Linked DNA regions of Oreochromis niloticus. The protein of the gene in region 2 interacts with the protein of the main gene of each other region in a pairwise test. Links are inferred from orthologs where the notes say so. Each region holds a gene or a part of one and is shown on either strand. Other genes may lie near its edges.

Evidence for each region.
Region 1: the proteins of bysl (region 2) and tfip11 interact in binary tests that used the Homo sapiens proteins (3 or more experiments, as listed by UniProt). The link is inferred for Oreochromis niloticus from reciprocal best matches to the Homo sapiens genes BYSL and TFIP11.
Region 3: the proteins of bysl (region 2) and lonrf1 interact in binary tests that used the Homo sapiens proteins (3 or more experiments, as listed by UniProt). The two-hybrid records come from large-scale screens. The link is inferred for Oreochromis niloticus from reciprocal best matches to the Homo sapiens genes BYSL and LONRF1.
Region 4: the proteins of bysl (region 2) and zbtb8a interact in binary tests that used the Homo sapiens proteins (3 or more experiments, as listed by UniProt). The two-hybrid records come from large-scale screens. The link is inferred for Oreochromis niloticus from reciprocal best matches to the Homo sapiens genes BYSL and ZBTB8A.

The regions. Positions count from the first base shown.
Region 1 is NC_031977.2:17,583,023-17,590,620, reverse strand, and holds the start of tfip11 (tuftelin-interacting protein 11), read left to right. Parts: upstream 1-4,329; 5' UTR 4,330-4,475; intron 4,476-5,399; 5' UTR 5,400-5,401; coding exon 5,402-5,607; intron 5,608-5,699; coding exon 5,700-5,859; intron 5,860-5,956; coding exon 5,957-6,113; intron 6,114-6,213; coding exon 6,214-6,341; intron 6,342-6,458; coding exon 6,459-6,620; intron 6,621-6,846; coding exon 6,847-7,038; intron 7,039-7,193; coding exon 7,194-7,373; intron 7,374-7,598. Other genes in the region: si:ch211-166a6.5 (clustered mitochondria protein homolog), read left to right, coding at 1-395; srrd (SRR1-like protein), read right to left, coding at 1,992-2,232, 2,322-2,473, 2,708-2,806, 2,903-3,096, 3,177-3,217, 3,309-3,451. UniProt on the Homo sapiens protein: Involved in pre-mRNA splicing, specifically in spliceosome disassembly during late-stage splicing events. Intron turnover seems to proceed through reactions in two lariat-intron associated complexes termed Intron Large (IL) and Intron Small (IS).
Region 2 is NC_031970.2:21,836,102-21,843,385, reverse strand, and holds the start of bysl (bystin), read left to right. Parts: upstream 1-4,141; 5' UTR 4,142-4,288; coding exon 4,289-4,553; intron 4,554-5,717; coding exon 5,718-5,868; intron 5,869-7,284. Other genes in the region: med20 (mediator of RNA polymerase II transcription subunit 20), read right to left, coding at 1,580-1,801, 1,900-2,153, 3,547-3,692, 3,903-3,916. UniProt on the Homo sapiens protein: Required for processing of 20S pre-rRNA precursor and biogenesis of 40S ribosomal subunits. May be required for trophinin-dependent regulation of cell adhesion during implantation of human embryos.
Region 3 is NC_031971.2:21,181,676-21,189,505, forward strand, and holds the start of lonrf1 (LON peptidase N-terminal domain and RING finger protein 1), read left to right. Parts: upstream 1-4,425; 5' UTR 4,426-4,582; coding exon 4,583-5,192; intron 5,193-7,714; coding exon 7,715-7,830.
Region 4 is NC_031983.2:27,606,036-27,613,343, reverse strand, and holds the start of zbtb8a (zinc finger and BTB domain-containing protein 8A), read left to right. Parts: upstream 1-4,279; 5' UTR 4,280-4,431; coding exon 4,432-4,526; intron 4,527-4,532; exon of another isoform or gene 4,533-5,121; coding exon of another isoform or gene 5,122-5,138; intron 5,139-5,446; coding exon 5,447-6,309; intron 6,310-6,403; coding exon 6,404-6,573; intron 6,574-6,722; coding exon 6,723-7,040; 3' UTR 7,041-7,308. Other genes in the region: gale (UDP-glucose 4-epimerase), read left to right, coding at 957-1,077, 1,316-1,431, 1,750-1,863, 2,174-2,350, 2,431-2,544, 2,661-2,727, 2,838-2,923, 3,005-3,082 and 2 more. UniProt on the Homo sapiens protein: May be involved in transcriptional regulation.

The DNA.
Region 1 (7,598 bases), on a different chromosome or scaffold from region 2:
CGGGATGTGGGAAGGAACCAGAGGGTGGGGGAAACCCAGCAGCAGCAGAGGATACAAGCAAGTGCCAGCAGGACCAACAAGTAGAAGGATCTCTGGAGAGCACTGGGAAGGTTTCAGCTAATGGTCATGTGATTGAGCCAGCTAAGCAAAACCAGCAAAAGGAGAAAACCAGTGCAGAAGGTGACAAAGCGGCCTCTGATAAGGTCAACACGGTAAATGATGAGATGGAGTCAAGCTCAGGCGAAATAAATGGAAGGATGGACGTCCCTGCAAGCCCATCGGCCCTGAGAAGTGGCGTGAGCTGGGCAGATGTTGTTTCAAAGTCCAGAGGCAAAGCTACAGCCGTAAATGGAGAAGGAGATGGCAGCACTGCCGATGGAACAGCTGAAGAATGATCACGAAGCAAACAAAGAGTTGTAATCGAGTTTTCCAAAGTCACTGCTGTAAGATTAAAAGCTCTTCCAGTATTTCCTGATGAAATTTGATCCAATGAACAAGAAGGACAGAATGAGTATTACTTTATGCTGAAGATTTTACCCTAGTACTGACTCTAAGAGGGTTTAACCTTTTTGTTTTGTTTTTCAATAATAAACTTTTTACCTTGTGTATTAAAAAGTGTGCCTTCAGGTTTTGTTTTGTTTTTTTTTTTTTAAATGCACTTACATGACATGACTTTATATCATGTTAATGTGAATTTTAAAGGTATCAACTCTATTCATCTGTAAATCAGGATGCATGTGTCCTAATAAACCGACCAAATTTGAAGTTCTATTTGTACACAGGTGAGCTGAAGCACTGGAAGGTAGAAGACTGTAAAATAAAAAGGGTTAGCTTTTATAAAATCTTGCTATTCTATATAAAAGTTGAATCTGACTGGTTCAAACATAAGAAATACAACTTATTGTCTTTATATACTTAAATTACCAATGTAACAGTTCAACCCTATGAGAATTTCCATTCATGTGAATATAAATAAAAAATTTGTAGAGTTGATAAAGTTACATTTTTGTAACATGCTAATGTGTGTTTGCTTCTTGGTGGGATGTGGGTTTTTGTTTTGTTTTGAACATCTGACTGTGGAGACCAATTGAGTTACAGTATTCAAGAAACCAGTTTATAATTTGAGCTTTGTGACATGTTATTTTGCTTGAAGCAGCCATCAGAAGATGGGCACTGTGGTGTTTAAATAATGCCCAGTTTGCACTAAAGAGCCAAATAAGTGTCAAAATCTCCCAAACAACACTACGAGCCTGAATTCTAGATGTAAGGCAGGACGGATCCATGCAAATCACTTTCCATGTGAATTGTAGCCTCAGTTACCTGTTCTTAGCTGACAAGAGTGACAGCCGGTGTGGTCTTCTGCTGCTGAATCTCACCTGCTTCAACATTGTGTGTTCAGATATGCTCTTTTGCATACTTTGGTTGTATCGTGGCTAATTCAGGACCAGATACATAAAATGTTACAGTTCTATTAAAGAATTTGTTACAGCTGAATAAAGTCAGACTTTATGAGCAGGATTTGTTATTCAACAATTTAATTCTTGTGCTTTTCTTGAATAGATCGCATGGTCCACAGTTCAAAATAATCCTCATTTTATAGTGGGCCTTCATGCCCAGTCCCTCAATTTGTCACTGTTTGTAAAGAAGCTGTTTTAGCTCTCCTCCATTTTATGCCAGCTTTCTTTTGATTGGCTTCTGCTTACAAACAGAGGGTTTGAACAGTAAGTGGGAGGGGCTTCTGTCCCTTACATCTGGAACTGACCAAATTAAGGTTCCCTGATGGTCTTAAACAGCGAGTTTAGGGCAGTCTGATCCCTGAGGTTTTAGCTCACTGGAAAACTCTGAAACGTGGTCAGTGTTTAATATGAAAACCCATCATTGTCACCATATATAATTAAGTAAAAGTACAACAGGTCCATTAAAAAAAAAAAAAAAAATTGTCATATGAATGACAACAGTCAATAAAAAACGTCCCATATCCATCTCCTGCCTCAGCTCCGAGTTTCCTTCAGTATAATCTCCAAATCAGGGCTGTGCTGGTACTGTGGCTCAGGTGACTCTGCCCAGGTAGACTGTGGGAGACCGTTAAGGCTGTTGGAAGGAAATGTGATGACTGCTGTGTCATTGAAGACGTCTATCAGATGAGATGGGCATGCGAGCTTTCTCTCCACACTAAAATCCACAGCCTTACTGATGTAGCTGTAATCTCGCTTAAACTCTTTCTCGATCGTCCTGTTGGGGAAACAGACAGATGTCAACTTCATCTCCACTGCTCTTGCTTAAACGTTGACTCCATCGTGCACGTGTCTTCTCGTACAAACCTCTCCCTCATCCCAGTGAAGCTGTTTCCGATGATTATCATCAGAGGGAGACCCCGTGCACTCCAGTTCTTCCACAGAAGGTTGTTGTAGAGGGCTTTCCCACAATGCATAAGGTAAAAAAATGTGGGTTTTTCTACCAAACGTTTCCCCTCCTGAACAATACAGACACACAGGATCACACACTGTTTGCACAGTCTACTCCCCTAAACAATGTTGTAGTCCCCATTTTCAATATAAAATGGATAATAAATAATAATATAGTTGAAATTTGAAAGAACTGTAAAGTTTTATGTACTATATGACACAGTTCTCTTTAGTATATGCCTATTAACAGTGTTTGACTTAATTACCAGGACAAAAAAAAACATGAGGGAGCAACAACTGACCTCATTTTCTGAGAGTACAGTCAGACCCAGGTCTCTCAGAACATCTCTCTCTCCAGAGGAGAAGACTGGATCATAGACAGAGCAGTCCTTTAGAGGAATCTGAAGAGATATTAACAGGGAGAAACATAATATGTATAACAAGCAGGGTCTGGTGTGAATGTTTGTCATCTAACTGAGGATGAAGCCTCCCCTGACCTGTCCTGCTTCCAGTAGAAGAAGCAACATGGCAAGCTGGTAGCGGGCTGAGACACAGGAGGCAAACGGACCGAGACCATAACACACACACTCCAGCTGCTGGCATGTCTTGGTTATCCGCTCCGGCTGGTCCTCAGCGTCCTTGTCCGCTGGAGATTTTGAGAGAGATGCTGATGCCGCCACCAAGAGCTGCTCTAAAGGCAGAAAGACAATCACACACACAGCTGCAAGCCAGATGTTTGGTGGTAACCCCAACTTTCAAAGCAAAACCTACCCTTCCAATCTTGCCAAAACTCTTTGCATCTTAGTTCAGACCTGCAGAGGTGAAATAAAAGCAGAGTTATGGGACTGTGGTGAAGATGAGACGTCCGAGGTGTTGCTGCTGAGCTACACTTTAATTTCATACACGGTGTCTCTGATGCGTTTAACAGTTTTCCCGACGTCCAGCGGCTCCTGCCCGCATGCTGCAGACACCTGAAGAGACTTTGAGCTCCTCGACGCACCTTTTCGTCGCCGAGCCACCCGCCACTCCCCTCCGGTGTCCGACATTTATGCTAACTTAGCACCAATACCCCAGCATATCATTAAAAAAAAAATACTCGTCCAGTTATCAAAGAACGAAAAGCATTTTTTTTTCTTCAGTAGACAAGTGACCAACATGTGGGAATATTTTGGGTGTAACACGCGTTTCCTCTTCCGGCGTTACGCCAAATTTGTAGTCCATCAAATAATATCCACCTGGTGGTGGTGTGCGGTCATTAAATTACTTTACAAATAATGCACAGCTCGGTTGATTTAAAGAAACTGCGACATTAATTTTTTGTATTTATTTTAAATATTATTATATATAATTATGTATATTATTGTGAAGCAAACTAGAAATTGCCCCGTTGTTTTTAGCTAATTTTGTTTATTAATACATTCTCATATAGGACTTTGGAGGGTGGTTTTATGTATGTTTGTATGTACTTATTTAATATTTTATTTAACCAGTGTGTCCCAAATTACAGATCCTGATTCACTTTTATAGTAAGAGAAGTCAGTGAGACTTTTATCTTTAATAATTTTAGGTATTCATGTTCAAATATTGCCTCAAGTTACTGCGAAATAATATTCTGAAAGTGGGTAGGCACATTTTTTCTAAATAAATAAACACATAAATACATTTTGAAATGTAGTTGATATATTTAACATATGAACCTTTCTTAAACTAATAGGATGATGTAATATGAATTTCTACTAACCTGGGGGAAAAAACTAAACTGAGTTTATATACCGTGTTTTTATTATTATTATTATTATTATTATTATTTACTACTGAAACGAACATTACTTCACAAAATAAATGAGATAAACGCATCTTTGCCCTATCTATGCCAACAGTCATTACTAAGAACCAACGAAATTTTTTAGAGGGGTACAGATTTTGGTGTAACACCATCATACCGGAAGTACTTGTGTTGTCGTGCACTAAACGAAGAGGCTATTGGCGTTAGTGTGGATTACTTCTCATCGTTTTTGAACGAAAGCATGTCCAATTGATCTCCACGCAGACCTTTATATAACTGTTCAGGTGCGTTAGAGAACACGGTGTTTACACTGCTTGTCAACACTCGAGATTATTACGTATAGCAAGACATTTATGCTGTAGAGGGTAACTAACCTTAGCTATAGCTAGTTATCGTTAGCTTACATTGTGTTTTCTCCACAGAGATGAATTTGTTCGGTGTCGTTAGTGTCAACTAACGAACCAAATATTTGAGATAGTGATGTGTGTGTTTAAGACGTGTCTCTATAAAATAAAAATTTTCTTTAAATTTATACTGATCTAATTTTTGCGACACTGTTGCTGATCTGGAATCTGCAGCAATAGAGCCTCAAAGTGTGGACAGGCTGACAGATTAGTTCAGATAGGATGTTCTCAGACAACGTTGTGGTCTGTAGTTAGAGTAGGGAGCAGGTGAAAGAGAGCCTGGACAGCTGGAGGTGTGCTCTGGAGAACAGAGGACATGTGAGAGAATGAGAGAGAGAGATGGGTGTAAAAGTAACGACGAGGAGGGATAGTGGTTTGATATGGAATGCAAGATATAGAGCTGCCAGGCAGGAGGAAAAGAGGAAGACCACAGAGGAGGTTCATAGAGGAAGTGAAGGAGGACATGCAGAGTGTTGCTGTGCTAGAGGAGGATGTTAGGGACAGGGTTAGAGGATCTGCTGTTGCGACCTCTAAAGAGAGCAGTTGGAAGAAGAAAAATGTTATAGCTCGAAAATATTATGTTTTATTATAATGTATTTGACTTTGTTTTTCCCTGTGCTCTGAGCTACAACTCATTGCTTTCAACAGTAGATTGAGTTTGATCTGTTGCTATGGAGATGGATGTATTTTATTATTCTGATCCCATGTCAAAGGTCTTTACCTAACCTTTAAACGAGTAGAGCAAATTTATTTGAAATTACTTACATTTCTTTAAATTGTGATTTTGTTCATTATGATCTCCAGAGATGTCCATGTCACACCTATATGGGCGGAGAGATGAGGAGGAGGAGGGTGTTGAGGTTGAGAGCTTTGAGGTGACAGACTGGGACCTGGCCAATGAGTTCAACCCAGACCGCCACAGGCACAGGCAGACCAAGGAACAGGCCACTTACGGCATCTGGGCTGACAGGGATTCAGACGAAGATGAGAGGCCCAGCTTTGGTGGCAAGAGGTGAGGCGTGGGTTTGTTTTTGCTGTTGCCCACAGCTTTAAAGTCGGCCATTAGTAGGAGATTGAGTTTGCTGTCTGTGTTTTTATTGCTAGATCTAAAGACTACACTGTCCCAGTGAGCTTTGTGAGTGCTGGTCTGCGAAAGACGGGAGCAGAGGAGAAACAGCTGAAAGGGGAAGGAGGCTCTGACGACTCTGATGATGATGGTCCTGCAGCTCCTCCACCTTCTCGTGCACCCAAAAAACTCCAAATGGTAAATTTGGTTATGTGTGATTTGTTTGTGTGTATATTGCACATAAATATCTCAAAGAAGTTTATAGGAACAATTACATGCTGAGTTGTTTTGCTAGGGTAATTTCCGTGGGAATCAGTCACAGAGGTTTGCAGGTGGCATACAGTCTGGACAAGGCATTGGCAGCTGGGAGAAGCACACTAGGGGAATTGGGCAGAAACTACTGCAGAAAATGGGCTACCAACCAGGAAAAGGCCTGGGAAAGAATGCTCAAGGTAGGAATGGCTGAGGAGGCAACAATATTGAAGTATTTAAGAGTATTGTGTGTATTTTAGAGCTGATCTACTTTGTTCTTCCATGCTCTCATTGCTGCAGGTATTGTAAACCCTATTGAAGCAAAGGTTCGTAAGGGAAAGGGGGCAGTCGGAGCCTATGGAAACGAGCGAACTCCGCAGTCTCTCCAAGATTTTCCTGTGGTGGACTCTGATGAAGAGGAGGAAAAGGTAAAGTGTGGACAAAATTTGGCTTTTCCTTTTTCTACAAGTAAGCAGATGTTGAATTGTAAAGTCTTTTTTTTTTTCTTTTTTTTTTTACATTAATCTAAATTTGTGCTGATGTAGGAGTTTCAGAAGGAGCTGGGCCAGTGGCGTAAGGATCCTGCAGGGTCGGGAGGAAAGAAGAAACCGAAGTACTCCTACAGAACTGCAGATGAGCTCAGAGCTAAAGGCAAAGTGGCGGGGCGGGCTACAGCGGCATCTGCTGGGGAGCTGGCACAGGTCAAGGTATTAGTGCTTTTTTGTCCTTTCTCAGAGGTGTGTTATAAGGGCACTGTGGCATGGTTGTTTTTTACAGCAAACTTTAGCAGCTAAAGTTAATTGTAGTCAGTATTAGACTCTATGGGTGAAGTTGTTTGGTGTATCTATGTAAGCACATGCACTCTGCTATTATTGTTTGTTTTTTTGTTGTTTTTTTAACCTTTTTTACCCCGTACCTGCCCCCGGTGCCTAGGTGATAGACATGACTGGAAGAGAGCAGAAGGTGTACTACAGTTACAGTCAGATATCCAACAAGCACAGCGTTCCTGATGAAGGTCCACCAAGCATGTCTACTCGGGATCAGAAGGGATCAGGCTTTGCGCTCCCTGAGCTTGAACATAACCTTCAACTGTTGATAGACCTTACAGAACAGGACATAATACAGGTATGAGGATACCAAAATTGTTTTTCCAAATATATTTGACTATAACTGAAATACCTTCTTATTAGATCAGCAAACTGGGGCTTCCTTTATAATTTAGCAGATTTTTATTATTTATTTTTTTAATCTCTTTCTTTTTTCATATAACCCCGGTATAGTCTGCCAGACGTCTGCAGCATGAAAAAGACGTTGTTGTTTCTCTGAGCCACGAGTCGAGAGCCTTGCAGAACAGACTGGATACGGAGCAAGATGCCATCCAGAGAATGGAAGCTGTGCTGGCATTAGTGGAGCGTTTTCCATCTGGGGAGACGCCACCAGGGGAGGGTCCTACTCTTCAGGTGTATATAAAAAGAGAATGGACTGACCACCTTCACCTTTTTAGAATTTTGTATTAGGTGTAAAGTTTCACAGACGTCTGCTGTCAGAAAATCATTTAAAAACTGGAGAATAAAACAACATAAAAACGTGCAAAAATTGTGAAACAGAGACAAAGTGAGAACAGGATGGAAACTGAGTGCTTGCTCAGTTTTCATGTACTCATTTTAGTAATTTTTGGTTCTTGT
Region 2 (7,284 bases):
CGATCCGAGCACAGACCCCGCCGCTCTCATTGGACTGGGGCTGAGCGGGAGACGGGCTCTCATTGGCGGAAGGGCTGAACAACAGGCAGCAGGATGGACCGTCCGTCCGTCCACCCACAGCGGCCACATGGAACAATAACGGAGGCCAGAGTGGAAGCCGGGTTTAAGAGGACAGCCGCTACCCCTGATCCCCGGTGTCCCCGTTAAACCCCGTGCGCGCCATGTGTCAGCTCGGTAGGGTTAATCTGGTAAAATACACCTGAGGCGCGCGCGTGTAGTGTGCGTGTGTGTAGCTTTAAGCGCCCTATGAGACGCATCTCCTTTGGATGCTGTCGTGGGGAGGGACTACTTTCAAAATGCGTCAGCGCAAATCAGTGTAATTCAAGTTTAAACATAAAAAGAAAGCCGCTGCCTGGAAGAAATGTGCAGCATTCAGGGAGAGTTTGAAAGCTGAATAACATATCACAAGTCCTAAAAGAGAAGTCATGTCAGTTTTATCAGCTTTAATTACAGTTGTGGTTACGCTGGATATCCAGGATTTTTTCACATGAGATTAGGAGACGCATGGATAAAAATAACCATATTAACAATAGTAATTATCGTGATTTAGTAGGACACTTGAATTATATATTTTTTTTTAAATACAATTACCAATTACTGGTAATTTAATAGGACATTGTTCTGCATTTTTTACTTTTTTTTCCTGCTCTAACATAAGAGTCCACTCGATGCCAAGCATAAGTGAGATCTTCAGATTATTGTAGATAATGTAGTATGTAGTATCTATAAACAGAATTAAATTCTCAGGTTTTAGAAGCTAGATCCAGTCTTTTGGACATTTTAAACAATCCAACATAAACAATCTAACTTACTGTCACCCTAAGATACCTGCACAGATACTTCTTTGTAATCTAATAAAGCATTTCCACTGTAAAATCATTACACGTGTAAGGACAAGCCTCACTTGTTAGCCTCCACCTAATACTGGAACACTAATCCAACTGCATAAACCTTGGGATTGGACTGACTGTGAAATTCCTGGGCCTGTAGTCAACGTTTAGTTCATTCATTCCTGTCTTTCTGACAGAGAAAAACAAAGAAAACTTGATTGTTTGAAAAGAAAAATCTCTCACCTCCTTGTGACATCATCTTTAAACGTTAAGCCAGCGCAAAACTTAGATGATGCAACAGATAAAAATCGACCTCTCTCACCGATAAACGTCATCAGATCAGTTGACAGTCAACAGGGCCAGCGTTCAGCTGATAAATTGGTTCATCCCTGTGTAAACTAGCAAGAAATCAATGAATACTTCGTGTCTCTACTCTCAGATAAAAGTGCACCATCAAAAGGGCATCGCAGTATGAACGCTCAGAGACTCTGACTACTTGTTTTCACTGTGTCTCTTTATTGCAAATGCTTTCATCCAACGCTAACGTGAAGTTCTGCAATGATAATAAAACCCCAGACGTTCAAAAAAATAAAAAATGCCTGGGTACTAACGCTGATCCATAGGACCAGGAATATACCAACATCTGTACAAACATGGAGAGAAAAAAAACAGATATCTTTGTTGCAAACTCAGCGCACATTGCTTCCAGGGATTTGCAGCTTGCGCAGTTTGTTGAACAACTCCAGGTACTGAGTCATGGTGTCAACACAGTCTGCTGGTGCAAAGAGTCCCTCGGGCTTGGCAGCAAACACAGATGGCAGTTCAGGGACGCTGGGGCCGAGAAAGGACTGCATAAACTCCTTCATGAGGTTCCAGCAGTCCCCAGGAACGACACAAGGGCAGTACTCCACCTGAGGAAGCAAGCCAGGAGTTAGCGCCTCACGGAGAGAAAGCAGAAGGACGTGACTCGTCTTTATCACAGCATATATATATATATACACACACGCACCTCTACTGATATCCCTCTGGCACTGGAGCTCATCGTCACGGTACCAACTTTTATCAAGAAGTCGCAGTAGCGATACCTCGAACCACGAGACTCCACCTTGTGTCCCTTGGCATTCTGGAAGTGACTTTTCAGCTTCACCATGAGGACATCAAAATTTGCATCCGCTATTAGGCAGGGTCCACCTTCAAACAGAGCCAAGCAGCTCAGGGGGGTTTCGGAGTTGTGCATCACATACAGGAGCTTGGAGGGCTGACCTACAACGGACAGACAACACTTAAAACTGTCAGGTGAGATGAGGAAGGAAATGAAAGTTCCACAAAGTTAGAGAGGCAAGGCTGAGATTTGCACCTGAGGTTTTGACGTGTACAGTGAGGGATAGTAGATATATTGGGCAAAGGATGTTAAAGACAGAGGAGCTGCCAGGCAGGAGGAAAAGAGGAAGACCTCAGAAGAGATTTATGCATGTAGTGATGGAGGACATGTAGATGGTTGGTGTGACAGAAGAAGCTGCAAGGGTGAGATAGAGGCAGATGATCTGTGGTGACATCTAAAGGAAACAGCTAAAAGAGGAAGGAAAAAGACTTCTGGCCATATAGATATATAACTATTACTTATACTGATGATAATTGTTATTCTCCCACAGATAAATTCAAAAACTGTGGCGGAAAAGTAGCCAAAGACGCACAGGAGGAATCAGCGGTACTGAAGAGGACAGTAACCGTATGTCGATGGAACTCGTAGTAACATTTCTAAGGAGGTGCACATCAGAAGCATAAATTCCCAATAAAAGTGACTGCCTTACTGTTTTGGCCTAACTACAGCCAATCAAACTGGAAATTGAACCAGTACACCAGTACTTATATAGCTCGTTTTAATGTAGCTGAGTACTCAAAGCACTTCCTACTACAAGTCTCACACTCACATTCATACAGTGTTTTTGTCTATGCCTAAGTGTTTTCTAACACACAAACACACACACCCACAGATGGATGCATCAGGGGCAACTTAGGGTTCGGCATCTTGCCCATGGATACTTCAGGATGCAGACTGGAGGAGATGGGGATCTATGACGCTCTCTACCAGCTGAGCCACAGCTCGCGTGACAAAAAAAGTGACATTTCTGGGGGGGGGTTATATGTTATATGTTATCCTGCCTTTATTGTGCCTATATTATAGTCAATCTAGTCCTTACTATCTATCTAGTGCTTATCTAGTCCTTTATAGAATTTTGATGTTATATTTGTCACAATTTCTCTTGCCCTCTTTGCCAGATCTCTCTAGACTTTTTTTTTTTTATGTCAGTGACACTTTTAGCTGGATAAATAAGGGAAATATGAAAATCACTTTGCAAAAAAACAAGTTCTGCTTTGTGATAGAAATGTTCTTTCTGACTCAAAATGACTCAGTATCGTTCATGAGAGATCTGTTTGAGAGATTATAGGCCAATAAGTCATTTAAAACAGTTCAAATACCGGCAATCTTTTTTTCTTTGCAAACAATCACACGAAAAGGGGATAAAATACTCTGCAGCCCCACCTAGACAGGGACATCAGGTCAACCTGATGGGTGAGTGCAATACGTCTGCATTAATGTGATCTATAAATCTGAATTCTAAAGCTCAGAAACAAACAGATAAAAAAATATTACTGCTGGAATTTCCCGTGGCATGGTAAGTCTCGCAGTCCACGCAGAAGCTGCCTTGCTTCACGGCGCCCAGCTGCTCCAGCTTTTTGTGCAGCATGTCCACAGTCTGCTGCACGCTCTTCCCCTCCGCCACGGGCACCTGGCACACACTGAGGGGCACAGCAAGCAGAGGACTTGAGGGACCAGCATACACTTTGTTCCGTGTAACGTTACCAGCATTGCTGAATGAGACAGAGCCACGCCTCCGCGGATCAATGAGAAAAAAACACGCAGGGTGGTTGAGGCTGGGCCAAATCTGTTTGAATATTTAGTGGTTAAAAAACGTTTAAAATCAAACGTAGGTTTAAAAACCACCTTACCAAGTAACACCCATTGATGTTTTGCCTCTCTTCACTTGTAGTACGGTGTTTGAGCACTTCCGGGTTAAACAAAACGCCTTCCGGTACAGTAAAAGAAAACAACAGAAAAAATAAAAATAAAATAAAATATTATTTATAATAAAGAATGGTGAATATTAACACCATTTCACAATGAAACAGTCAACTGACTTTGCTGTACTTTTTTTCTGAAGTGGTCGCCGAAAGCTGGATGTTACGTGAGTGCGATGCGTCACTTCCTTCTTGCCGGACCTGCGCACGTGTTGAAGCAGTGACTGTTTACAGTGTTTGGTAAAGTCTGTCCTGTAGCTCGCACATGTCCACGGAAACATCCACACTGTGGTCACAGCTGAAGTAAAACCGCAGCGATGCCGAAAGTCAAACGGTCCAAAGGTGGAGGAGAGAAGAGCGGAGCCGCGCCGGTGGCGCTGGCCGACCAGATCCTGCAGGCGGACATTGTCCGAGCTAAAGGCCGGGTTAAGATCAGAGACACCCGGGAAGAAAGCGACGACAAGTACGTGGACGAGCGGTTGTCACGGAAAATCTTACAACAAGCCCGCATTCAACAAGAGGAACTTCAGACCGAATATGGGCTGGCACCAGAGAAGAAGAAAGCACCAGTCACTGTTCTCGGTAATGTTGGATTGGTGTTGTAGTTATCCTTAAATTGGCAGATATTTGAATGGAGTCTGGCGAGTGAAGTGCTAACACCATGGGGAGATCAAAAGTCAGTTGGCTTTGACACACATCGCATTTGTTCAATGTTTTCTGACTAGATTAGGTAGCTGTAATCAACGTAGTTTGATGTTTTCTACTTACGCTTTTGGTCATCAAAAGGAGACAAATCAATTAAAAAGTTTTCTTCTTTTGTTTATATACCTATATTTGTCCTTAACTTTCATAATCAACAACATTCCACAGCACAGATCTTTTCATGAGAAAAAACTAATACTAGCTCTGACTTGCAGCCTTGTTACTATACATATAAAATACACTCTCACAAGCACACTTTAAAACATAAAATATCATTAAATAGCATTTCTCTGGTCCTGGATATTTATTTGTAGCAGGTATGTCATAATCTATAAATAAAAGTAATATATCCATTCAGCCCTTATATCATGTGCAACCCTGTTACACTACTAATTTTTTTTTAGCCCTGATCATATCATTTTTAATAAAATTGTCATAAATGTTTTTATTAGCTCACAAGGGTTTGATCTGTTAATCTGCTGCCTTTGTAACTGCTTTAATTATTACATGAATAGTGTTATTTGAGCACAGATATAAATATGAATACTGAAATTACCAAAAAAAAGTACATATTGAAAATTTGGTAGGTTTTGAAAGTTGCTTAAATGAATAAAAATTGAGTGTTATCTGTTATCAAGTGTGAAAGATGCTCAAGAATTTATTAAACAATATTTTTTAATCTACTTTTTCGGGTTCTGAAGTATTGGCTGCAGAGATGCGTACAGAAACTAAAATATCATAAAAAGTTTATCTTTAATCCCTGATCTGGACATATTTAATATTTATTTTTTTCTTAAACACATATTATATTATAAAATAATAAGATATTTTTAAAGCCTGAATTGTCCTCCTATTGTTAAATGACCCAGGAGTTTTTCACACAAATACATAGTAGTGCAACACATGTTGAATCCATGTTACAGTGTAAAATCTTTCCTTGTGATTGTCTTTATCAAGAAACCTTACTTAACTAAAATATTTATACCTAAAACATTTCAGTGTGATCTTCTAATGAGCCATCTCCGTCTTGTAATCTTATTTTAGGGCCTGACTCTCAGGATGCTGACTCGGATGAAGAATGGCCGGCGCTGGGAGCAGCAGATCCTGCAGATGTTGAGTACGACACAGAAATCGTTGTTGACGCTGAAGATGAGAAGGCCATCGAGATGTTCATGAACAAAAACCCACCAGTGAGGTGAGCTACACCGTCGCTTTAACTTCAGGCGCTGCGAGCTCAGCAAATCCTTGGCTTTGTGTTTGTATTAATGCTGTGCAATAGTGGAAAGTTTGGTATCGGGTAGGGGTGGGCGGTATAAACGGTATACGGTAGAAACGATATGAATTTGGCCAACGGTAGAGATTTTGACTATACCGCTCTGCAGCGATAGCGCATGTTGATGGTTTCATCAAGCTGCGCCTGTTTTGGTCGAAAGCATCGCAGCGGCTGCAAGCAATGTCATCTGCAAATTGGGCGACAGTAATAGCGAAGAAATGAAGCACGTTTTGGAATATGAGGAAAGGCAAAAACTGCCCTTCCTCCACTTCCGTACCATTGATTCATTAATGTTGAATTCTCTCGCAGTTGCTCTATACCCATGTTGTTGCAGTATACTAATAACTAACCTCGTATTGTGGATGGATTATCTCAGTTGTTGTCCTGACTGAAGTTTGGTCCATTTACAGCATCCTGCCATGCATTTGTCCCTAACCGTCAGACCCTCACGTTAACTTTTATCGAGTGGAAAAAAGTTGGCGTTCATCCTCCAGCTTCACTGTTTATGTTATGCTAACATAGCTGTGTTGCTAGCGATCATGTAGCACATCATTATGCTTCAGTAACCCTACAAAAGTCACTGCTGTTTAGTTTTCTGTCTTCGCTTATGTTGGAAGTGATAGCAGAGCTGTACGTTTGAATTTTTTCAGAAACCTCTCTGTCAGAACATGCTATATCATGTTTAGGTGGAAACTAGCGAGCTTCCTTCCTTCCTAACTCCTAACTCTGCTCGGTTTTCATGGATGCCTGGATGTTAAACTTAATTGTTACACCTGGTAAAGAAGCAACGCTGATCATTTTATTAAAGATGAAAGAATTTAGACAGTTTTTAATGCTCAGTGATGTCGCAGCGTTCATTTGGCTTTGGGACCTGAAGCAGACGGAGTTTTGGACCCAGATTACTCCGCCAGGCTCCTGACTGCGGCAGCTGTAATGCTCCGAAAATCCATCAAGCGGTGCGGCTTCGTAGCTTACCAAAATCGTACTAAAACATTTTTGACAGATTTTTGAGCGCCGTGTTCCACATAAAATAGGTTTGAGGTCAGTAAGCACAACCAGAATTCATACATAAGACACACCGGATTATAAGGCGCACTGTCGATTTTTGAGAAAATTAAAGGATTTTAAGTTCGCCTTTATAGTGCGAAAATACGGAAGAAAAGAATATATCGCGATATATATTGTTATATATGGATTTTAGGCCATATCGCCCTAGTATCGAGCCAATACCAGCACTTTTAACCTATAAAGGAGTCGCCATCAATTTGCAAATTCTAAATATATTTTAATGACCGTTAAATCACTGGTTTCTTCTTTCCATAATAATTAGTTAAAACA
Region 3 (7,830 bases), on a different chromosome or scaffold from region 2:
AATGCTACGTACAATAAACACACGGGTATGCAGGCCTGCGTTCATTTTATACAATGTTTTTCTAAATGCCAGTTCCCAATATCTCAGGATGCTTCATATTAAAGTCAGCAGTCTTGGTAACTGTAAGAATTCTGCTGGATAGATTAAATAGTTTTATGAACTATGAGAACCAGTGTGACTGTAAATGTGACTCTGGTTTGTGTAATTATTCTTTAAGCGAGACTGTAAATAAATATAAAGTTAGAAACTCGTCACTCTTTATGTGTTTTATGCTTTAAAAGCTTTTGATCACGGGAATCACACAAAGTTATTAATTAAGAGGGGAAGAAGGAAGAACTTTGCTCCCAGTTCGTTTAAATGGGTCTTTCCTACTGTACCCGAGCACTCAGAGCACTTCATTCATACAAGCACTTTCTTCTACATAAGTGCTCTCATTTATATGGGGCAACTTTGGGTTAGTATCTTACCCAGAGATACTTAGCATGCAGACTGGAGCAACCGGGAACCAGGGATCAAACCACCAACCTCCCAGTTAGTAGCTGACCCGTTCTACTGCCTGAGCTAGACTTTATGCTAATGAGTTGATGAAACTTGTCAAATTTGGTACTGTTCAGCCATCGCACTACTGATCTCTAGCAGCTCCTTGCTAAATTCACCAATCTCTTTTATTTTATTTCACTTTTTTAAATTCATTTTTATGTAATTGTACTCCTGCTTCTGTCTCATTACTACATCTTTCTTGAGTTATTTTGTCATATTTACTTAATATCTACTAAATTTATGTATGCTTAATGTTTTGCATGCTGTAGCACAATAATTTCACAGTTTTGGGGATAAATAGCATACATTTTATCTTGTTTTCTGTCTATGTCGTGAAAAACGGCCCCCCAACCCCTCGAACTGGGTAAGTGGAAGTAAAGAGATAATTAAATCTTAGGATCTGTAACTGGGGTCAGTTACATTGGGCATCTTGCATTGATCAAACTGATCTAGCTGTATTTTTGTGTGGTAATAATCTTGCTTGCTTTTTTAAAATATGCCATATGAAGGCTTTGTTATGTTATTTAAAAAAACTCCCTTTGTGCAAACACTTGGTGGGGAGTAGGAAGAAAAAACTTCCTTTAACAGGAAGAAAGCTCCAAAAGAATTTTCTCAGGAAAGACAGCCACCTGCCTTCACTGGCTGGCAAACCAAACAAACAGCAGTTTTTGTTGTTGTTTTTTTAAATCAGTAATACTGAGCAACTTCAGACTCAGGGTCATATAGAGACAGACAAAGAGTGATTTAACACAGAACACACAAAGTTACTGACGTGCAATAGCAGCATATAAGTGGATGATAAGTGAGCAAGAGGAGAACAGAGCCGAGCACCACTATGAGTCCTCCAGCAGCCTGGGCCTAAAGCAGCACCTGAACCAGCCCTATGCATTGCATCATCACAGAGAGTGCTGTCATCTTTACTAAACTCGACAGGAGATGGTGGACAATAAGGAATAAGTAAAATAAGGAATTACAATAATTCAGCCTTGAACTGGCAAACGCAGGACTAGTTTTTCAGAATCACTGTGACAGCAGATGTTCCTAATTTGTACAATGTTGCACAGGTGAAAGAAGGCGGTTGTAGAGATTTGTTTAATGTGGCAGTTAAAGAACATATCTTGGCCAGCATGTTTGCTCTCTAACTATCATTCACATGTGAGGAAGACTTATATTTTGCATAGACAAATGGGCAACTGTCAGATAATCGTTATACAAAGTAACATCTGCCATAGTAAAATTTTGTGATCGGTTGTGAAATCAGTATATGGTCTGATTATTTCCTTCTGTGCTTCAAATCCACAAACTATGGTTAGTCTGTAACTCTTCAGAGTAACCATACGGATGCACATTTGCAAGGATCTAGAAATAAAGAGGGACGATCTTAATTACAGAAAAATAAAAAGGCTATGTCAGGTATAGCTTCTTAATAAAGACACATTTAATTGGGAATTGTTGATCAAGAATAAATTAAGATTTTAGAGGATGACACTTCCTTTCTAGCTTTTGTGACATCGGTTTTAAAATTATATGAGAGTGACAAGGAAAGAGAAAGGAAGATTCATGAAAGGAGGGTGTGCTGACTCTGTTATCATCAGTGGCACTGTAACGTGTTTAATGTAGCAAATGAGCAAAGTTCAAGTTGTGCGTCTACACAGTTTTAACCTTCTGAGACCCAGCCTGCTCATTCGCGTCCTCTGTAGTGGACACACAACTCACACACAAAAAAGTTAAACTGAAAGTTTAACCTCCTGAGGTTAGTCATGGAGCTGTATGCTGGTTTATGCATCTGATCAGTCGAGTGAGCAGACTGTGACTCAGTTTACACAGTGCAACACTGCCCTCTAGTTGGTGTTTATAACAAGCCTATCACATGACAGTGCAAACTGCTTCATCGCACTCTGCGTATTGCATACCAGCAGAATGTGCTAAGCACCAAATAATGCGATCCATGCGAAATATTACATATGAACTGCACGTTGACAAGTGATCATTAATGCTATGTAGATTTCTATTTTTCAGTATAGAATAGAATAGAATAGAATAGAATAGAATAGAATACCTTTATTGTCACTATACAGCTGTACAATGAGATACAGAGCATCTCCTACTCAGTGCAAACATGCTGGGGGGTATAAAACATTTCTGTGACATGCTTTAAAATTCATTCGATCAAAAATAGATACACATTTTATTGTATTTATTCAGTGCAGACATTTTGTAAATAAATAACTTTTTACAAATAATTTTTTTTAAACAAGTCCATTAAAGCAATAACATTCTTTAACCACTAGAGGGAGGTGTCCCTCCACGTTATACAAAACTCAATCAGGTTCACACCGCCTCATAAAACGTCAGCTACACTGTGTAAGGTTTTTACAGCGTTTTCCCAAAGATTGCAGCATTTCATAAATCACCCTTTTACTTTTCACTGAGAGCTGATGACCTCTGAACATCTGTGTATCATTAAAGCCGAGACTGGTTAAGCATGAGGGGACGTGAGTGGATATCCTGTTCGATGGCTATCATAATATAACCATAGTATCACCACAATTGCCACTATGTACTCTGTGCAATATGTACTGTTTAGACTCTGCGAGATAGCACAGAAACTTACAGCCAGGAGAACATATTTTGACAGATCCCGAGAGCTGAAGTGACTCAACAGCCAGTTTGAAGAAGCAGATTCGGAGCTGGCAGATGATCAATCAGAGTAACTGTTTGGTGTGAACAATGCAAAATGTCAAACAAAACCTCTTGTTGTGTAGATGTAGACAATTTGTTTAATGTATTTGCCTCAAAAAATGATTTATTTTTGCTTTGGAATATTTTGATTACTTCTTGTGGAACATGGAGAGGAGAAGAAACAGAGGAAATAAATAAATACTGGCCCTTCGTCTTTTTCCTTCAAACTATGTTCGGACATAGATAGATAGATAGATAGATAGATAGATAGATAGATAGATAGATAGATAGATAGATAGATAGATAGATAGATAGATCACGATTCTCACGATCACGAAAACTGGGTACTTTTCCTATATGTGACTTGAAATCGGACATGAGAGATGCATCTGCACCTACTGTTTGTCGAAGTCTTATCAGAAATGGTCTCAGTGGAAGGGTGGCCGTCAAGAAGACATTCGTATGGAAGGGAAACAAGGGAAAAAGGCTGTCATGGTTTGGAACAACACCAATAGTATTTCGGCTAGATTTTGATTCACCATGCAATACCATCTGGAAACCATCTGATTGGCAAAAGCTTCATATATCAGTATGACAATGATCCCAAAGACACTGCCACTGCAGTAAAAGCATACCTGGGTAGAAAAACACACCTCCCCAGACACCGGACCTCAAGCCCTGTTACCTCTGGAGAAAGGTAATTTCCCGTTACATAAATAATATGGCTGTGACGTAATCCTAGCAGTGACCGGGAGTTGTTATCTTTGCTTTTCTGTGCAAAACTTTCTAAAAAACCAAAGAGTAAATATTTCCGGCAGCAAATGAAAGTATGAAACTACACTGAGAAAGTCGAAAGAAAAAGGAGGAAATAGGTGCATAAGGTGCATGAAATTAATTACATAAAACTGACACTTGGGAAAGTGTTACAAAATCGTATTACACAAGCAGTTATGAATGCCTTCTGGTAGGTTTCCTATTTCCCCTGGTGTCAAAACCTCCCGCTCAAACTTTCGCAGTAATATGACTTCTGCTTGGTTTTATTTGACTGTAAAGGACTTGGAGGTTAAGAAGTTCCAGTTAGAGCGTTGACATTTGGCACACTGACAACTTTACTACGTCTCTTCCGTAGTTATGAAACTTTCAAGCGCAGGTTTTGTAACCGAGAGGTCCCGACCAATCACGGCACGAGTCTGCTGCTCACGTGACAATTATTTTTTTTATGTAACAATCGGGTATCTGTGGGAAAGTGCGTTCAATATACCGCAAAGGACCACGGCAGCCGTAGAAATGTATAAACACGTTACCAGAAGAAAACTTAAGTCTCTATAACATACTATTGCTCATCTTTTTAGACGCTAATATGTCGCTCCAGCCGCAAGCGGCGGACGCCCTGGAGGAGAGAAGCGCCTTCTTCATCGGTGCTGACTCGGGCAACGTCTCGGAAGAGGAGGACCACCATGAACTTATACTTCAGAAAGCTAACGCTCTAGCGTCCGAAAACTGCCTTAGAGAAGCCATTGACTGGTTTTCAGCTGCTATGCGGTACAGTCCTGTGCGGCCCGAGCAGCTCAGCACTTTCGTGGACTGTATCCTCCGCAACTTTAAGAGGAAAGCGGCCGGGCCGGAGCCGCTGTCGGGCCGTAGTAGCCGGGATGCGGCGGAGAGCTCCGCGGAGGAGGACGTGCTGGAGTGTCCTAACTGTCACTGCTTTCTAGGTGAACCCGTGACCTTAGCCTGTGGACATTCATACTGTAAACGATGCTTACAGCGACGGCTACTTCACAAATGTAAACTGTGTAGTGAACACGTGAGGGGCGAGGAGAAAGTGAACGTGATTTTGTGCGCACTACTAAGTAAATGGTTCCCGGAGGAAGTGGAAAAATCGAAAAAAGTAACGGAAGTGGACGCACTCTGTAGAAGAAAACGCTACCAAGAAGCCGTGGAGCTAGCAACCGACGTGATTCAGTCAGGTCAGTGTTGTTAACAGTGCCAGCCGTGCACTCGGGAGAGGTGTGTCTACTGCGCACTCTCACCGAGCAGGCGTGACTGGAGTGCGGATGTGTTATTACTTAACCAGGGTTGTGTAGTAGTGACGGGAGCGGGATACGTGTATGGCCCGTGCCCTCAATGGATTCAGAGGGGACAACATGGTGACCAATATTTTCTTTAAGTAGTAATTACTTAATTTCATGTGTTATACTGACGCCAGTCTCCTCCTGCTCTGCCTATCTGCTGGGCCCAGCTTACGAAATTGCACAAGATGGGCATGCGCGCTTGGTGCACGTTGCGTAAGGCAGGTCGTGACACATATTGGAGCAGGTTTTGTAACTTATTATGGGGGGAGGGCGGTTGTATTTTGTAATTGTTATGTCTGGGCGAACCACGGTTTCATAAATGTCTTAGAAGGTGGGAGGGGGGGATGGATTCACCGAGGGGTAAAGCAAGGCAAGGCCGGGGGTCCGTATACACACCCAGCAAAGGCAGCAAGTTATGCAATGAAAGAAACTAAACCAGGCTGGTTTATTTATTTGTAGTTAGCCTGCTAGTGATGTGGGAGGTTTGTTGGCGTTGAGTTTCGCAGGTGCAGATGCAAGTATTGATAGGAAACCCCTATGTGGGTGTATTGAAGTGAGTAATGCTCCTCTGTCCGGTAAAAACAAACTCCAGTCATACTGAAAACTGTACACTGAGTTCCCAGGTTAAAGAGGAAAAACAGGCCAGAGGATAGCATGCCCTGCCTTCGTGAAAACAAAAATAGAAAGTAAAGCAGTGTGATGCATTGTGGGTATGCTGCTGTCTTACAAGAGGAACAGGCTTTCTTTTCCTTCTTTTTTTTAATTTCCTGATTACTAAATTTCTGATTACTTTCAATCACACAATGAAGGAACTCTAGTCTATTCATTAAACTTGTGCTGTTATAGTAATTAGGGTAGTAGTTCTATAGCCTGGCAGCTTGACAGTAGGTCTGGAAAACTGCTTTGGACCTGCATGTGATTTAATATCTCATGTAACATGCTGTATCCTTTTTGACCTCTGTTACTCAGACATTAGCAGCACAATATCAGGATGTTTAGCGAAAGGGTTACCCGTGTTCCAGGAACCCCCAGGGACTCAGACTTGAAAGCATGTCTTAGTTAATCAGAACAAAATAAATTGCATTTGATAGTTTGAGTAACTTAAAGCAAAACTTTATCCCCCCCTTTTTCCCCTAAAATGGTAAATGGTTTGTTTTTTCTGGATGTAACATGGAGCTTGCTGAGGATAAATTAAGAAATAATCAATACAACCCAAATGCACTTCCTCCCCTACATTAGATGCTTGGAGTTACTTGCTTTCAAATTAACATCATATATTTGTTTGTTCGTTTTTTTTCTCGTTTGCTGCTTCGACTATTTTAAAAAGGAAGGAAGGGCTGTGTGCCGGATGACAAATGACAAAATATGAAATTACAGCCTGACCTGTTCCTGGATTGTCTCTCAGGTCGTCCCAAAAGCAGTGATTTGTACACATTAAAGGTTACATAAAGATAACAGCGGCATCACCCTTCTGTCACTTGACAGTGGGTCGAGGACTTCACACCGATGCCACTGAGGCGCTATTGCAGTCGACAGTACCTGCTTATGACAGTGCAGACCCACAGTTCTGCATCCAACCTGAGGGGAGGATAGAAAGTTCCAGACACAGAGGGGGTGCTTTGCTGATGTAATGATGACAAGACAAACTACCCTTACCCTTCCAATTAGTATCTCGAATGCTCCATAGAAATGAGATAATCTCTCTCAGGGAAACGTAATACATTATTAGCACTGACAGTATGCAATGTGGTTTATGATGACACAGCAGTTAAATAACAAACTTCATCTGCCACGCAGACAGATTGCTTTAAAAGGCTGAGGCAGGATGATTACATAGCCAGTGGAATATATCTTCATCTTAATGTTTAGTCTTTCTCACAGGTGGAAGTATTTAGAGCTGTTTTAGGCCCTCCTTAATGGCAGCTGTTCTACCATCAACAAAGCAGTCTGCCTTTCAAAAAAGCCTGTCATTGTGTTTAAAGCATATGTCATGTTTTGTAGTGCTTTTTCTTTTTAATTTAAACTACCACAGTGGACAGAACTATATAGTCAACCAATCTCTCTCTGGTCTTGCAGGCTTCTGCAGCTTGTTTTCCTTTTACACTGTTTGGCCAGAATTCATTGACACAGTTAATATGTAATGCAGGGTCCTGATTAATTGCATAATGTATGACTTGCAGGAAATATTTTCTGTTGAGGGGAAAACAGTACTTGCCTGTGCAGCTAGGAAATATTGTGGGGTAGCTCAGTGTGTTATAGACTTAATTGGTATGTGTGCTATTACATGTATGTGACATGCAACACAATCATTCAGCAACTAAATGGTTTGTATTTGTGCAAGTGTTGAGGTTTAAGCAATTTCCTCTGGCCATTGAAGGTTTTTCTTTCCCCCCTCCTTTTCATCCTGTCCCCTGCAGATCCAGACACGACGGCGGTGGCGCGACTGTCTCGAGCGGAGGCGTACATGGGTCTGAAACAGTACCGCCAGGCTTTGGAGGACACTAACGTTTGTCCCCGATCCAGCTGTTCTGCT
Region 4 (7,308 bases), on a different chromosome or scaffold from region 2:
TTTTACAGAAGTTGGTTTCGCTTTCTTGAAACTGAAGAGAATTTAACGTTTGTGCTTTTATTTTGAAAGCAGGCGTACAGGAAGTCGTCTGTTAATCTTTCGCTTGACTCCGCCCCACGTTTTACAGGAAGTAAAGAAATGTCTACAGGAAAAACTAGAAGACTTCACTGAATGAACTGACGGATAAACCTTCAACACTCACCTCTTCTGCTTCTGCTTCCGACAACATTTATCAAGAGTCTCCACCGGAAACGCCTGTTCACCTCTTAAAGAGAACCTCGGTGAGTATTTTATAGAAAATTTAAATGAAAGTGAACTGTTGTGTGTCATTTTAGCACTTATTACTTAGGTTATGTCTTTATTCTTCAAGTAATATTATAAGATTTGGTTAATTAGCCTGAAGAAGCAGCTTTTACTTTTTTCTTTTAAAAAAAAAAGCCTCTAAAGTTGCTCTGATCCAATATTTCATCCATTTGAATTAACTGTAATGTGTGACGACCTGTAAAGAGATCAAGTATAAGCCTTGAGATATTCTGATTGCTTCCGTGGAATAAACAGGATGTCTTAAAGATGAGTAATAACTGGAACTGAGTAATAAAGTTTCATCATACAAAGTGCAAGGAAGTTGTGGCCTGTTGGAAAGAGAATATCACTCTCTCAAAAGATAAGATGGCTCTTAACAATAGCCAGTAGTCACTGACGTGTTATTCTTCGAGCAATATAATTGTTTCATGTGGTTGGACAGGTTAAGGCTTGAACCTGCTGACGTGGGACAATACAGGTGTGTCACTTAGCTTTAAAGTGGACTTAACAAAGCTTTCAGGTGTGTCAGGATAAAGGATATCCTCATCCTCCAGTCAGGATGACATAGTTTTGCTTCCACTACAGCATTCAGACTGAGAGAGGATTTTGATTGACTTGATGTGATTGTATCTTTTATCCATCAGACCCAAAGAATGGCAGAGAAGGTGCTGGTCACAGGTGGAGGAGGCTACATCGGGAGTCACTGTGTGGTGGAGCTCATTGAAGCAGGCTATCAGCCAGTCGTGGTGGATAACTTCAGTAACGCTGTGCGAGGTAAGCTCCGTTACGCACACCAGTGAAGAGCTTTTACTGAGAAAATTATTGAAAAAATTGTAGGGTCTACCTTACAATATAAAGCGGCTTGAGGCAACTGTTGTTGTGATTTGGTGCTATATAAATGAAATTGAATTGAATTGAAAAATAATCAGCGTGATACTTAGACCTGGTGTTTCTGTGTGTGTGTGTGTGTGTGTGTGTGTGTGTGTGTATATCCATTGTGTTTTGGATTGAGGAGAAGGGAATGTGCCAGAGAGCATACGCAGGATAGAAAAGCTCCTGAAAACCAGCATTGAGTTTCATGAACTGGACCTCCTCGACCGCCCCGGCTTGGAAAAGCTGTTCAAAAAGGTCAGAAAGTTGTTACAGTTGCTTTGTTTTTTCTAATTATTTATCTGCATCTGAAACTGTTTTACAGTGTAGACACTTTGATTTGTAAAGTCAGTATGTTTGGGTTTGTTTAGCTGAAAAAACAGCCCAATTTCTGCTTTACTGTTACACCCATAAAACAATCAGCAATAAGAAAAATGCACCACCATTTAACTTTTATAGCCTTTGCTTGTTTTCTTAAAAATGTCCCTGCTGGCCTGCATAAACTGTCATGAAAAGCAGTTCATTTGTAGTATTTGCGGCCTGTGTCACACGTGCTTCTCTGTTTGTGTGTTGCAGCATTCCTTCAGTGCTGTGATTCACTTCGCAGGGCTGAAAGCTGTGGGCGAGTCGGTGGAGAAGCCATTACTCTACTACAAAGTGAACCTCACCGCCTTCATGAACCTGCTTGAGGTCAGTCAGTAGCTCCTGGGTGATCTCAGATTAGCACTTTGAATCTTTGCTCTGCACTCATTATTAATCCCTGCTCTGACCTTCTTCTGTGTTTGCCGAGCGCACACCCGTGTGCTCATTTGAAAATGAGCTGATAAATTCTAAAACCGCGTCCTTCTGAGATGTTATGCATGTGGAGCTCACCGTAACAGCCAGAATCGGCCTTTTTTCCTCAGCCCTGAGCTGAATGCACGTGTGCTGTGGACTGCTGACTCTCCGGCCACTGATTGTGTGTATGTGCCATGTTTATGTGTATCTGCATGTGTCCCAGGTGATGCAGGCTCACAGAGTGCGCAATCTGGTCTTCAGCAGCTCCGCCACAGTATATGGAGACCCCCAGCGCCTACCCATAGATGAGCAGCACCCCGTGGGAGGCTGCACTAACCCCTACGGGAAGACCAAGTACTTCATCGAGGAGATGGTCAAGGACCACTGTAAAGCTGAGAAGGTAAACTCAGAAGAAACACATTCACAGATGTGCACACTTCCATCTCCTGAAGTGTCTCATTATTCCTTCTCTGTGGGCAGGACTGGAATGCTGTGCTGCTGCGCTATTTCAACCCAATCGGAGCTCATTGCTCCGGTCAGATAGGAGAGGACCCTCAGGGTATCCCTAACAACCTGCTGCCATATGTTGCCCAGGTATCTAAAGTCTCTGCCAGATGCCACGCTGTGCGCATCATAGTGATTGTTATTTCACTGTTTCATCTGTCTCCATGAATCGCATGACTCCGATTTGCTTGCATTGCTTAATTTAGGTAGCCGTTGGGAGACGAGAGTGTCTGAGCGTATATGGAAATGACTACGACACGATCGATGGCACAGGTAACGGAAATCACTGCAAATCATTGCACTTGCAGGCAGCTTTGAAATAGCACTTTAAATAGCAGCCAGATACTCAGAACCATGCAAACGAGGCTCCTTTCTGTTTGCAGGTGTGAGAGATTACATTCATGTTGTGGATCTGGCAAAGGGACACATCGCTGCTCTGAAGAAGCTGAAGGAGGACTGCGGGTGCAAGGTATAACAACTTGGAGCAAATTTCCATCACGACCATTGTCACATAGATGCTTTAGGTATTTATTAGTGTGTGTGTCTGTAGGTTTACAACCTTGGGACAGGAAAAGGCTACTCAGTGCTTGAGATGGTGAAAGCCATGGAGAAGGCTTCAGGAAAAGAGGTGAGTCATCGTGGTTACTGTGAGAGCTGAATCATGTTTATAGTCTGTTTTCTGGAAGTGACGCAAAGCACCACCAATCTGGCACTGTGGAAATACCTCTGATCACCTTATTTGTCCATGTAATTAACACAATGTGTTTTCTGTTTAGATCCCATATAAGATCGCCCCTCGCAGGGGAGGAGACGTAGCTTCCTGCTACGCCGACCCTCGCCTAGCTGAGAAGGAGCTGGGCTGGAAGGCTCAATTTGACCTGGAAAGAATGTGTAAGGACAGCCACGCTGGAAAATCTGATTCTTCTCCATGTTTGCTTTTCTACAGTCAAATAAAAGTGTTGTAGTATCTCCTGTATGATCTCTGTGTTTTTTCTTTGCACCTCTTTCCATGCAGGTGAGGACCTGTGGCGCTGGCAGTCCATGAACCCCACTGGATTTTCTAACGGCACTTGCTGACGCAACCCGAGTGGACTGTTGCTTAAAAATCCTCTTTTAAAATCACCAAAGGGAACCACCAGCTTCCTCATTCGCGCAATGACACATAAGACCTCAAGAGAAGCTGCATTGTTTTTATTTTTGTTAAACTCTAATGATTCAGCTGACTACAAGAAGAGTATCTAAATGTCTGTTTACTCTTTGCTGTTAGCTCAGACTTAACAACTGATATTTTCTCTATAAATGTATTGATCTGTGAGCCATAACAATGAAAGAATAAATTAATTTTCTTACTGAAAAGCTGAAACGTGCACTTTCTGCCTTGACTGTGTGGAGTGATTGTGACCCTGGTTGTTGTTAAATACATACAAATATTTTTTTTTCAGAAATGGGGGGGTAGATTAAAGACTCGGACCTGTGTGATAAGGTTAGAGGAGCATCATGAGTCCCTGCACAAATACTGTATGAATATCGCTCCTTTCGCAGTGAGGGCGTCTGTTTAAACGGGGCACTGGGACTTTAAATGGCTCCTTGAACCCTCGGGCACCCAGTTAATAAACACCCACGTCAGCACAGTGCTCCAGTCGGTCTAACCGGGTTTCGGTCTTTAGGGCTGAGCAGGAAGTGCCTGACTGTGGACCCTGGACGAGCAAAGAAAAGAGCGGAGGGGGGGAAAGGCAAACGGGAATTAAACATGGATATGGTGGCGGACTTGGGGGCGAGCAGACTGTACAGGGCGCCGGGTGAATCGAGCCACCAGTGAGTATCGATGGATTTTGTCAGGGGGAGTATGAAGGCGTGGGGCGTAAGCGGGTCCTGCCGACACCTCGCGCCTGCGAAGCAGTCGCTCGCTTTGGGCAGCAGTCAAATCCTCCCCGCTGCTCGCCGGACCTCCGGAGAGAAGTGGGGGTGGTCTTGAGGATGAAAACGGGCGTGTTAGCGCGTCGTTGCCCCAGACTGTTACACAATGCGAATAGATGTGTTTTTCCAGCTCGCAGCGCGCTCACTTGCCGGAGGTTTGTGTCTGTTTTTCTATTGTGTGCTGGCTGAAGCCTGAAGTGGGCGTCGCTCCAGGACAGACAGACTGAGCTGCCCGCTTTCCTCTCGCAGGACTGCAGCACTGTCGTGTCGCTTTGTAGGTCGAAGGATGTCTGATTTTACGCGGAAGAGCTCGGTGGGGACGTTAGACTTGATTTCGCGTGCCGTGAAAGGCACCATGGAGTCCTGCGGGCGGGCGTTGCACCGTGGGTTGTCGGGCGCTGCGGAGGTTGTCACACAGCCGCGCTGATGGCTCATTAAACACGGGTGCGTGCAATCCCGAGCCTGCATGAGCACGGATTGAACAGGTTACCGTGAAATAAGAACTGGTCTGAAAATCAGGGTGCTGGACCTATTTTTTTTCTTTTTCTTTTTTCTCTTTGCGTGTCCGGCTGCAGTGTTTTATTTTCTCTTCCTACAAGTCTGACGCGTTTACTCCGTCGGGGGTTTCTGGAGCGCGTGAGACCTCAGAAATGATTCAAGGTTTTGTCACCCGATGCTCTCTGACTGACTTGAGTCGGGTGTAACCCATTAGGAGAAGATTTTGCTTGAAGGATCCTTCAACAAATCAAAATGCAGAAAAAAGTCAGGTGGGCGGGCCTTCTGCTGAGCCGGTGTAAAGACAAAGATGCAAAAATTGACAGCTGCAAGCATGTGGTGATGCTGTTGTGTTTATTATGCTCAGATGAATGTGGCATGATTACCATTGTAGGCTGTTACCAGACCATTAAAATCCAGCGGCCTGTGTTTTCCATGTTAATTTGGCATTGGGAAGAAGTTCAGTAATGAATGTCCACCAGGTCTACAGGACTTGTGTCATTTCTTATTTTCTTGCTAAAGAAGTGAGTGTGTCTTGCATACAGAGCTAGTGAGCGAGCTGTCATGTTGTCTCCTGCAGGCAGCCTCAGAGGTGGTTCAACACGGCCGACATCACAGTGTCTCACCAAAGCAACCTGCTGAAGCAGCTCAACCAGCAGCGCCGCCAGGAGCTTTTCTGTGACTGCAGTGTGTTGGTGGAGGGCCAGCTCTTCAGGGCTCACCGCAATGTTTTGTTCGCCAGCAGCGGCTACTTCCGCATGCTGCTGTCCCAGGGGCCCGATGACACTGTCAACGCCACCTTTGACGTCTTCAGCCCCGAGACCTTCACGGTCATCCTGGATTTCATCTACTCTGGCCAGCTGGACCTCTCCAGTCACAATGTGATTGAAGTCATGTCTGCAGCCAGCTATCTGCAGATGAACAACGTCATCAGCTACTGCAAGAACTTCATCAAGTCCTCGTTGGACATCAGTGTGAAAGATGAAGACAGCGATCGCTGCCTCAGCTTGTCTGAGACCTGTAGCTTTACCAGCGGAGCAGGAGAAGACTCCACAGAGCAGCATCAGGGCCCCTGCTCTGTCAGCCCTCCACCTGCGCTCTGGACTCGGGACAACTCCAGATCACAGTCTAGCTTTATGGGAAAGGACTCGGACCAGGATCCTTCGGCCTCGGCCCTGAAGACTGATCCAAACAGCCCTGTTAATGAGCTCAGTGCAGATGCAGAAGACCTCCAGGACCCTCAGGACCCTTTGTACACCTTGCCTGGATCAGACCGTCGGCGTGGAAAAGGGAGTACAAAGAGGCGAGCGACCAACAGCGCACGGTCCAACCAGCACGAAGACTTGGACATCCAGGAGGCGCGGACACGAAAGGCTGAAAAGGCAGAGGAGCTTTACGCCACTCTGCCACCAATTGTGGGTGTTATTGGACACTTTAATAAAGGTGTGTGCCACCAGAAGATGATGATGACGGGAACACTTGGACAGAGATGATAGGGAAAAGTCAAATGTCACATTTTCTCTGTTCCTCTTTGCAGATTCGAATCCTACCATGCGCTTCAAATGCCCCTTTTGCACACACACAGTGAAGAGGAAAGCAGACCTGAAGCGTCACCTGCGCTGTCACACCGGTGAGAGGCCGTATCCATGCCAGGCCTGCAATAAGCGCTTTACTCGCCTGGAGCATCTACGCAGCCATTTTGAGACGGTAGGTGTTTTCACAGCAGATGGTAAATTTACACTTTCTTCGGTGTCCGTGTCGGCTTACAGCTCCAGGAAAACAAGCTGCTAAACAAATTTACTCTAATATTTAATAAATCGTTATCCAATCTTTTCTTTTTCTTGTTAATCTCCCAGATTCATCAAGCCAGGAAGCTGGTGTGCAGGAAGTGTAAGTGTCAAGTGACCGAGGAGACCGGGCATGTGGTGTGTGAGGGCACGAGACGCTACCGCATGTGCACAGCGTGCATCCAGGAAGTGGGCTGTGACGACATCCCCATGAACAGCCTGGAGGGCCACAACGAGGAGCCGGCGCTGTTACTGGGTGTGGACGGGGAGGAGGAGGGGGACACAAAGAGGAGCTGGATGGTGACTGACGACGATGACCTGGCAGAAGACTCGGGGGCCGACCTCATCATCCAGCAAGTGGACGTCAGCGACGAAGAGCTGCAGTGAAACTGGACCAAAGTGTGCGTGTGTTTTTGTGTGTTTGTGTGTTTGTGTGTGTGCAGATGCATACCCAAATTTGAAGTGTTTGTGTTTTAAAGTGGCCCTGGTATGCTCATTTTCAATTTAGGGGTTTACTACAATAAATTTACATTCATTAGTATTCAAAAATCATTTTTCTCATATTGTACTGTGCATAGTGTTGCTGCTGCACCTCTTTTCACCATCTGCCTGAAACGATCTGTTCTAGGAAAGTGAGGTATGCAGCCAGAGTTAC